Linked DNA regions of Daphnia pulex. The main gene of each other region encodes a partner of the protein of the gene in region 2 in a complex. Links are inferred from orthologs where the notes say so. Each region holds a gene or a part of one and is shown on either strand. Other genes may lie near its edges.

Region 1 (4,421 bases), on a different chromosome or scaffold from region 2:
CGCACCCCATTCTGACTTCTGAGAACTCCGGCTCAACCTTCAACCAACCAACTGAACAAGGTCAAGGGGGGAGACTAAGGGTGACTCACTTTGTTGTTGTAAATAAACCAGGTAAAAACCCAACAAATGCGTTGCGTTTTTCAAAAATGTCTTACTATAAACGAGTTTTAAAACTATTCATCCATAATGATACGAAATTTTATAAAATATCCATAATTAATATACAATAGCTTACTTTAATTTAACTCTAGTTTTGTTGGATCCAAACATAGTAAAATAAAAAAAAACGAGAAATTATTTTCGTGTTAACTTATTCCAGATTAAGGTTTATAATCATAAGAAAACAAATTAAATGAAAAATTTTCTGGGATAACTTTACAATATTAAACGTTCCATATTAAATTATAACTTTCCTAGTCGTTAATTCTACATAGTATTCATATGGATTCAAAAACGCTACAATTTTTTTTCTTTTGAAGTTCATCTTTCTCATATGCTATTTGATTGATTTTTATGAAAAAAAAATCATAAACATCCCTTCGGATACCTTGCTAATAACGCAGGTAGCTGACATCATATCGTGACATGTGTTTTTCGAAAAAATAAAATTTTTGTCATAAAATTTGTTTGTAATTTTACCCTATGCATCTTATTTTAAAAACCCAAACCAAACCTAAAAGTTTTACCATTAAGATTGTTCTTGGTTCAGAAAGGCTACCAATAGCCGTCGCCAGGTGGCGGTTTTAGCACTGACAGGGCAATAGCTCTCTATGGCTATTGCCCTGTCGGACCGGCATGGCAATAGATTTCACGCAATTTGCTGGGACATGGCAGCTTTGTCAGGGGTATGGAGAGAAAGGTATGGGGGTCTTTCCATACCCCTGGCTTTGTTAAACACACTTTCCGTACCATGTCGAGAGTAGGCATGGTCGAGAGTACTCAAGGCATCATCTTATTGGGTAAAATGTGGCATCACGTGACTTTTGGCAACGTCTATTGGGAGATTGACTGTGTGCATGGACTACTCTAATTAAGGACGGGATTCTTCGCCTATCCTGCCTTGTTAAAGCTAGTCGGGTGGGGTATTTTCATGAAAACATTAATAAAAAATATCATTAAATTCAGTTTTTTTTGCTGATTCCAACTATAGATATAAATCTTAGTGAAATAAACTAATCATTAAGATATTATAAATTTACTTTCAGAAGTAGGGGTAAAAGGATAAAACACCGGTGCCATCTAGCAACCAAACACCCTAAGCTCTTAAGAATATACGCTACAAGGTAAAATATAGTTAGGCAGCTATGTCAGAGGACTAGATAAGAGAGTGGTTTTTTCTTTCTCTCGGTATGCATGCATGGGCATCTGCTTGCAAACTAACAAGAGCTTAGGAGGTTTGGTTCCTAGATGGCACTGGTGTTTTGCCCTATTTCAAATTTTTCGTTAAGGAATTGGAAATATCTCTATAAAAATAAATGTTAGGTATAGGGCTCTTCGGGATCTGTTTTATTTAGCCGATTTATCTGGCAACGCAGCATGGTTCGAGACTTTTTTAGGGCGAGAACGGGGAGAAGAGGGAGAATGGGAGGACACCCTCCTCCCTCCCATTCCTCCCATCCTCCCTCTTCTCCCCGTTCTAGCCCTAAAAAAGTCTCGAACCATGCTGCGTTGCCAGATAAATCGGCTAAATAAAACAGATCCCGAAGAGCCCTATAGGAACATATGGTAATTCTATGATAATTTTTAAATTCTGATTCTGATTCTCCCACAAAAAAATTTACATGGCCGACATAGGAAACGCCGAAGAATATACCGTCCTTAATTAGAGTAGTTCATGCTGTGTGCACACTTAACGAACCCCACCCGTGAGCCGCCCAGCAGTCGACGTTTTTTTCTAACTTCGAAGTTGTTCTGGTGTGCGAAAAAAATGACGAATAAAGAATCAGACAAATGTGTAATATGCACTCCCGGTAATATTAAAAAACATATTTTTTTAGTTGTCATTTTGATAAAATGTTTGCATTTTTCAGGACAACGCATATGTCTGTCGGATAACCAATATATTGGAGGAGCCGGAACTTACACAAGACAAGGTTATATCACATCATGTTTAGCAGGTGTTGTTAAAGTAACTTCACAACCTGATAAGGTTAGTGGTTAAACAGTGAAATTAGATCAGTGAAACAATTCATTTGGTGTGAAATAATGAACTTCCGAATATTATGTTCAAACTTTTCTTCCTAGAGAATCCTGATAGAGGTTAGAAGTGGTAAAGAACAGACAGTTGTTCCATCTGCTGGTGATGTGGTTACAGGTACTGTTTAAATTATGTGTTGAATTTTGTGAATTTCATCTTAAACCTTTAAATAGCCAGAGTAACACAAATAAATCCTCGCTGGGCACGATGTGCCATTTTGTGTGTTAAGGACATTGTATTGGCAGAACCCTTTAGAGGACAGCTGAGGAAAGAAGATGTGCGTGCTACAGAAAAGGACAGGGTTGAAATGTACAAATGTTTTCGTCCCAATGACATTATTTTAGCAAGAGTGGTAATTATTTGATTTTGATCATTATTTCAACTGTAAAGTGAGTATGACTTCTAAGATGAAATTTTTTTTCATGTTGCTGTTAGCTCTCATTAGGTGATGCACATTCCTATGTTTTGTCAACAGCAGAAAATGAATTGGGTGTTGTTATAGCATACAGTGAAGAAGGTACTCCTATGGTTCCAGTAGGATGGCAAGAAATGCAGTGCCCAAAAACTTATGTTAAAGAATTGAGAAAAGTTGCAAAAGTTTCGCCAGAAACAATTTCAAACGAAAATGCAACAGGCGTCTAGATTATATTAATACATGAAATTTGACAACAAAGCTTTTCGGATTTTATTTTATTGGTGTTTTGTCGACTGCTTGCGTTTCTGTTCAATTCATTTCATTTTCTCCAAGTTCCTTTTTTCTAATCATAATTTATATTCTTATAGTTTTTTCAAGCATGTAAATAAAATGAGGAAACATCGCCAAGTGAAATGGAAAAATTTGCCGAAATCTCTAGCTGTCATTTTTATAATTGGGTATTTCAATTCCTAGCGAGTTCTTGTAATCAGCATATAGAAAACTACAATGTATCTTTTCTTTTTTATGAAGAGGAGGAACTACTCTGGCATACCAAATTCATTCTTTAAACCGCCGGTTTTCATCTTTATTGTCAGATGCCGCAGTTGAGAGAGAACGTCAAAAGGCTGGGTGCTATATTGCTATTCCTCAAACTGTAATTGAAACTGAGATTCATGCTATGACCTCTAAACTGAAAAATGTTGAACAAATGGTGGAGACTCTTATGAAGGGACCAACACATCTTGGTCTTGATTCAAATCCCTGGCATCTTCTTCGAATTCTTAAATCAGAACTCCCTTCTCATACTCAAGAACACTCCACTGCTTTAAAAACATTGGCTACTTCACATTATAATGGTATCTTCAAATATATTATTTACAGATTATGGTTATGGTTATAAAGTGTAAAATAACTGCTGATTATTCTTTATATAATATAGTTGGATTATCCCAGCAAATTGCCCAAGCATGTGATTTCAGGGTTAGTGTCAAACTGGCAAGAACAAAAAATGTTAACCTAAACTTGTTCCTACAACCCCCTGCTTACATAATTTCAACCTCTGAGGTTTTAAATTATATATTTAAAAGCTTATAAATGATGTGTCTTTTAAACAATCCTATATCCTCTATTATAGCCCATAGAAGATGTGTTAAACCACATTCTTGACAAAATTCCTACCTCCAATCAACACACTTGTGCTACATATTTTCTTAGCATTGCTCAAAAAATTACTGAAAAAGACAAAGATGAAGTAAGTATTTCATTTATGTAGTAGTTGATGAAACTTGTATAATATGATTCATTTGTTATTCCAGGAATTCAATCTTAGATGGGATCCTGATACTGCTAGAATTATACATCCGGGAAACATTGTTCAAATCGTAGAGCTGTACTTACAAGCTTTATTGGAACTGTCTCGTTCATTCGAATCCTCAATTTTAATGGTGCAAAATGGACTTCTTGTCGCGCTCTGGCGAGTCGTGCATATGTTCAACAAGGAAGCAGCGCTCAAAGCATTGTGTGTTAATATAATTGTGAACATCTCTTTATTCTCTCAGCTCCATCATCAGATTTTTCAATCAGGTATACTGTATAAGAATTTAAAACGTAATAAATTTTACGTAAAAAATTAACTTAACCTAAAAAATTAAACAGGTTGGATTGGCCTTTTAGCAGAATTTTTTGGTCCTCAACATGCTTCTCTAAATTTAGCTGCTGGAAAAGCTCTAGCTAATATGGACCAAAATAGCCGCAAATGTGGAGTATATGATAGATCAGTTTACCTGCTGCATCCGTTGTACGAGGATA
Region 2 (5,677 bases):
ACGTGATCTGCCGCCAAACTTTTTTTCCCCCTCCTCGCTCTCTCTTTTTTTTTTTAAAATTTAAACGGTTCACTACACACCCGAGTCCAAAACTTGTTTTTCACGTGGCAGACGTAAACAAAAGGATCAGAACCATTATTATTTTTGAAAAAAGATAAAAAGTTGCCAAAATAGTTTGGAACGAACTTTGATTGATAACGAGTGGTTACATTTAAAAAAGGAAAATACAAAAAGGATAGTTGAATCGTTAGAGCCATTAATAAAGGTACATTACTTGGTCAGACGTTATAATGAGTCCACTGTAACGAACATTGTGCATTTAGGTTAGTGAGGCTAATTTTGTTAAGATACGTTGTGATATTTTGGACGGAGATTACGAAGGTTTTCGAGATTATTCGTGTTTCAAGTCATGGATGATTCGACTATGGTCACACCTTCCCTGTAAAGATTTCGTTCGTTCCATAATTGAGTTTCAGAGCGCCGGGCGATGGCTTTGAGTTTCTGCAGTACAAATTAATGAAAAGTTAAGCAGATAGTATCGAGAACATTCAGAGCCAGTTCGCGTTTCCAAGCAAACAAGTCGTGTAGCATTTAAAAGATGCACGTTACCTGGTAATGCATATTCATCTCTTCGAAAATAGCTGATGGCCACGACACATTGCATGTTCGCTCGGTGAGTTTGCTCAAGCGGTTGACAGCATTCAAGAGGGCAAAGGCTCGGATTTCGACATCGCGTGGTTGAATGGGTGGGCACATGGAACGCAAGACGTCGTCAACTAATGGAAGGACAGATTTTGCAACCTAAAACACAACAGAACTTTCAGACACATAGTAATCTTTGGAGTGTCACAACTGAATTCCAACATAACAGAAATGCATGCAATTATTTTTCTTTTAGATAATGAGAGTTGTACCATTGCCAATTCAACAAATCTCTGTTGATCTGTAGAAGCCATAGCTGTAGTCACAAGCCTTTCACTCATCAAGTGACAGCCTTTTAAAATCTGAAGGCAATGAGGAACAATTCCAAGGGCATCGTCCACCCATTTCCATCTGTGAGATTCTAGAACTTTGTCCAAGTCAGGGTGAATCACTAAATCTTCAGGATCAATATTGTCCATGATGTAGTCTTCATCTTCCATCTCTAGGCTACTGATTAGATGAATATCAGACCTACTGGGAAATTCAAAAGCAAAATTACTCCCAACTGCGAAAGAAGTCTTTGTTCGTTTTTGAGATAGTTACCTCACATGGAATCCATTCTGCTGCACTTGTGGGCTTTGTTCCTTCTTCTTAAATTTAGAACCAAGATTAAAGCAACATAGTTTATATCTGCATATAAACAATAGCGCAAGGAGAGCAGCAATGAATACGGAAGTCAAAATCCCTCCAGTCACAACGACAACAGCGTGCATTGTTATGTGCTGAAAAAGAAAGCAATATAAGAAAATCTTTCGATCGTTTCAAGCGTCTGTCATATATTAGTTACCTTCGCAAAAACGACAAGTTTGGATGACACAGTGAACCTTTATAAGTACTCAATAACGAAAGTCCAAGTTAATAAACAACTAGTGCAAACATTTTTACGGCGGGATTAAAATTGTTATTATTTTATGGAAAAGAATGATGGTCAAGGCACTTGTTGATTTGTTATTTTCGGGGAACTTTTATAACGCCCTTGGCAGAATTTTAAAGCGCAATAGCATTTTCAAATGAATAAAAAATATTTAGTCGTGGGTTGAAAAATATTCTAAATTTACTAAATATTTTACTTGTTCATAGATATTCAATTAATTAAGTAATATAGATCCTTTTTAAGTTTAATAATAAATAAATCAACTGTTTAACTAACGGTGTATTACATGCATAATGTAGCAGACGACAAGTGGATTCTGAAAGCATGATTCTTTGGTCAACGGCGAGACTGAAACAAGGCGATTCACGTGCTTAATGTTTTCTGTGAATAATCGCAATAAGATTTTGTTGCAATTGATGATCAGAGAATATTTTTAAAATGAGTGAAAAAGAAAGTGAGAAGAATGGAAATGCCCAAGAGGTTCAACAGGTAGAGCATTGGCTGGCCAAACATTTTGAAATTTCATATCAGTCACAACTTGATTTTCTCTGTTTATTTAGAAATTATTTCAAAGTGCAATGAAGGTCACAAAGTACTCTAATGAATTACCAAGTAGTGGTTCAGACTGGGATTACTACCAAAGTTATCCAGCATATGCCAGCGCAATGAAAGAATTTGGTGGTCGCATTACTAACTTGTGAGTTACAGCTACCGTTAAGTATAAGAATTTTGTTTGATCCTAAAATTTTTATTTGTCAAGGATGACCACAATTTACGGACACTATGGACTAACAGGAAAGGTGGGAAAATTGGATTTGGAAGAGCAGATGGAGCTGGTGTCGGACAACAATGACATCTTGATGGAGCGAATAGTATGCTACTAGGAATTATTAGAATTTTACACCTGTTAAAAAAAACTGCTTTCGTTTCAGAATCTTTCTCTAGATGAAGCTGCTGGATTAAAAAAACAAGCAGAAACTGTAGTTGTTGAGATGATGGCAAAAACTACAAATATTAATGGCAGTTGGAATCGGCATTCTGTGGTATCTAGTTTTTCATACCAATTGTTGTCTTAGATGCTGAATCTATAAAGTATTCATCTTGTTTACAGAGTTCACCAGCAACCTCTTACAAACTTCTTTCTGCTAAAAACATTCTGAGACCACAGTTGAAATTCAAAGAGAAAATCAAGAATTCACCTGGACCGTTTATCCCCAAAATCAAAGATAAGCCTCATTCGTTGAAACCACTGGCGATACTATTAGAATTGAATGACTTGGGCGATGAAGAGTTTAGCCATCCGTACGAATTTGAATTGGAACGTTTTACACCGGATCCAAAGTTCTTCACCGTACTTGATGAAGTGCCTCCATTCCCAAGTGTTCAAGAAATCCCTTTGGTAATGATAGATACTGAAGAAGGTTTAAAAAGTCTTTTGAAAGTTTTGCTTGAGGAAACTGTGATTGCTGTAGATCTGGAGGTATTATTCACTGTCTAGCAGTTTTTAAATTGGTGAACCTTATTAAGTTCCTTAATTATTTATTGCCAGGCCCATTCATATAGATCCTTTCAAGGCCTAACATGCTTAATGCAAATTTCAACAAGCAGTTCTGACTACATTATAGACACTTTAGAGCTATGGGATCAACTACAGCCTTTAAATGAAGTTTTCTGCAACCCAAAGATTGTTAAGGTATGAGCTAACTGTTTAATTGAAGAAGTAACAAACTTATTTTGTTGGTTTTCGTTTAGATTTTTCATGGAGCTGATATGGATATTCAGTGGCTTCAGCGCGATTTCGGTATCTACGTCGTTAATCTTTTTGACACTTATCACGCTGCCAAATTATTGGGTTTTGCACAGCTGTCCTTGTCCTTCCTCCTTCGTCATTATTGCCAAGTTATTGCTGACAAACAATACCAGCTAGCCGATTGGCGAATTCGTCCCTTGCCTGAGCAAATGGTCAATTATGCTCGAGAAGATACCCACTACCTAGGATACATTTACGAAAAGATGAAAAAGGATTTGAAGATGAAGGGAACAGGAGATAATTTGCTGACAGCAGTTTGGCAAAACAGCCGACTGGTTTGTCTCAAACGTTACAGAATTCCCCCTATCACTGCCGAAAGTCACTTGGAATTGTATAGGCTCAGCAAGAAGATTTTCAACGAACGTCAGCTGTTTGCATTAAAAGAACTGTTTGCTTGGCGCGATCGAATAGCTCGAGAAGAAGACGAGAGCACTGGTTTTGTTCTACCCAAACACATGTTGTTACAAATCGCCGATGTTCTACCTAAGGAGATGCAAGGTATCCTTGCCTGTTGTTCACCTATCCCTTCGCTCGTTCGTCAGCATTTACTTCATCTCCATGGAATCATATTAAAAGCCAGAGAAATGCCTCTCGCCACTCTACAACATCACGGCCAGCCATTAGCCATCCCGAAAATGATGCCGACTCCATTGGATCAAGACACCGAAGACCCCCTTTATTGTATGCACGACTTGACACATTCTCAGGACATCCGAGACGACCTACCCACTCTGCTGAATCCGCAAACGATCGAATCAATGGCGTCAAGATCCGAGGAGTTTGGAGTCCGCGTCACTGTAAAAGAGTTCCCACAAGCTCTAATCTTCGCCGAATCGGCTCATTCTGGCATCGTGACAAATGTATCAACTAATTTTGTTTCTCCATACACGAGATATATTCGTGTCAGAGCTCTAAAGTCGGCCGAAGAAGCCGCAGAAGCACAACGTGTCGAAAAGTTGCGCCAACATTTCATGGAAGAAGTGGCGCATTCAACACCCGATGCCCAGCGTGAAGCGGAAGCGATGGAAGAAGAGGCGGAAGCAGTAGCAGTAGTTCCTGCGAAGAAAAAGAAGTTGGCGTTGAAAGCGCAGGGACTTAACAAGAAGAAGAAGAAAGTAGGGAGTACTAAACGAGTAACGGCTACTCCTGAAACATCTGTAATTCCATCAAACTCCAGCTCCCCATCGAAAAAGTCGGCGGATGCAGTAGTGCCGTCAGCATCCAAGAGCCCTAATCCAGCAACATCCAAGAGCCCCAATCCAGGAATGAAGAAAAAATCATTAAAACGACCGGCGAGCAAAGAAGCAGGAAATGACAGCGGGGCTAATTTCGAACCATTTGATTATTCCCAGGTTGATTATCACGCTTTTAAAAGGAGCGCACTGCGTGAAGATGGTGATGGACGCGGTCGGGGTCGAGGAAGAGGCCGTGGTGGCAAAAACCGAAGAGGTGGTCCCGGACATAGCAATAACAGAATCCACAGAAAGGGTGGCCAAAAGAGTCTTACGTATTCATCGAAATAAGTTAATCTACACTCTTTTGAAAATTAATTTTTGAACGTCGTATTCTTGTACTGTTGTGGATGAATCCGTGAACCTGTTTATCCTCTCTTAAAAATTGTTCGATTTTCAATCGTTTTGAAGTAAACAAGACACCGTTTGAAAAGAAAGAAGCAATTTGTCGTGTCAGATGTAATGGCGGAATCTGAATTAGCAAAAAGCTCGAGAACATTACCCTTTGGACGAGTCCTTTGGATATTTGAAATATGACGACGCAGAGTAATAACGGAAATCAGCAAAGTAATTGGGACACTTGTGGCAAGCTAATGTTAGCAGCGGATGAATAACCATCCGATTTTAATGGGACTTTAACCATTTGATGAATGTCGTGTTCTAGGGTTTCATTCAGGGTTTCCTCCCGGCTGATTGCAACATACGTACAACTACAACGAAATCCTTTCGTGGAATGAACGCGGTAATGACTTCTTTTGGGGTTTCCCTTGCACAGAGCTTGCGGTTTCGCTTGCAATGAATCTTTTATTTTTCTGATGATGCCGAAAAATTTTGATATCCCAAGGTTGATAACTCGCAAATTTATGTGGCTGGCCAATCCAAATTGCTTTCTGGCGCATTGCTCCGCCAATTGTAGTGAATGAAGAAGTGCACTTACACCTCCATCTGGACTTGAATCGCTTTTTTCAAAAGCGGGTAATGCGAAAAAGGGCAAGTTGAACCTTCAGTCGTTCGTCGCCATCTGAACAAGGAACACCGACAAACTACACCTCAATTATC

What was found. Proteins that work in one complex are often made in the same cells at the same time.
Region 1: exosome component 10-like (region 2) and exosome complex component CSL4-like share a complex: the UniProt entries of both Caenorhabditis elegans proteins name them as parts of the RNA exosome complex. The link is inferred for Daphnia pulex from reciprocal best matches to the Caenorhabditis elegans genes crn-3 and exos-1.

What each region holds. Positions count from the first base shown.
Region 1 is NC_060026.1:7,115,020-7,119,440, reverse strand, and holds exosome complex component CSL4-like, read left to right. Parts: upstream 1-1,815; 5' UTR 1,816-1,834; coding exon 1,835-1,970; intron 1,971-2,030; coding exon 2,031-2,149; intron 2,150-2,244; coding exon 2,245-2,314; intron 2,315-2,370; coding exon 2,371-2,549; intron 2,550-2,632; coding exon 2,633-2,839; 3' UTR 2,840-2,868; downstream 2,869-4,421. Other genes in the region: protein SERAC1-like, read left to right, coding at 3,003-3,070, 3,144-3,469, 3,553-3,677, 3,748-3,864, 3,929-4,196, 4,269-4,421. UniProt on the Caenorhabditis elegans protein: Non-catalytic component of the RNA exosome complex which has 3'->5' exoribonuclease activity and participates in a multitude of cellular RNA processing and degradation events. Involved in regulation of antisense ribosomal siRNA production.
Region 2 is NC_060022.1:1,681,342-1,687,018, reverse strand, and holds exosome component 10-like, read left to right. Parts: upstream 1-1,831; 5' UTR 1,832-2,014; coding exon 2,015-2,065; intron 2,066-2,136; coding exon 2,137-2,273; intron 2,274-2,336; coding exon 2,337-2,448; intron 2,449-2,508; coding exon 2,509-2,619; intron 2,620-2,687; coding exon 2,688-3,056; intron 3,057-3,125; coding exon 3,126-3,269; intron 3,270-3,328; coding exon 3,329-4,909; 3' UTR 4,910-5,055; downstream 5,056-5,677. Other genes in the region: transmembrane protein 98-like, read right to left, coding at 403-501, 610-801, 915-1,176, 1,246-1,415. UniProt on the Caenorhabditis elegans protein: Catalytic component of the RNA exosome complex which has 3'->5' exoribonuclease activity and participates in a multitude of cellular RNA processing and degradation events. Involved in apoptotic DNA degradation.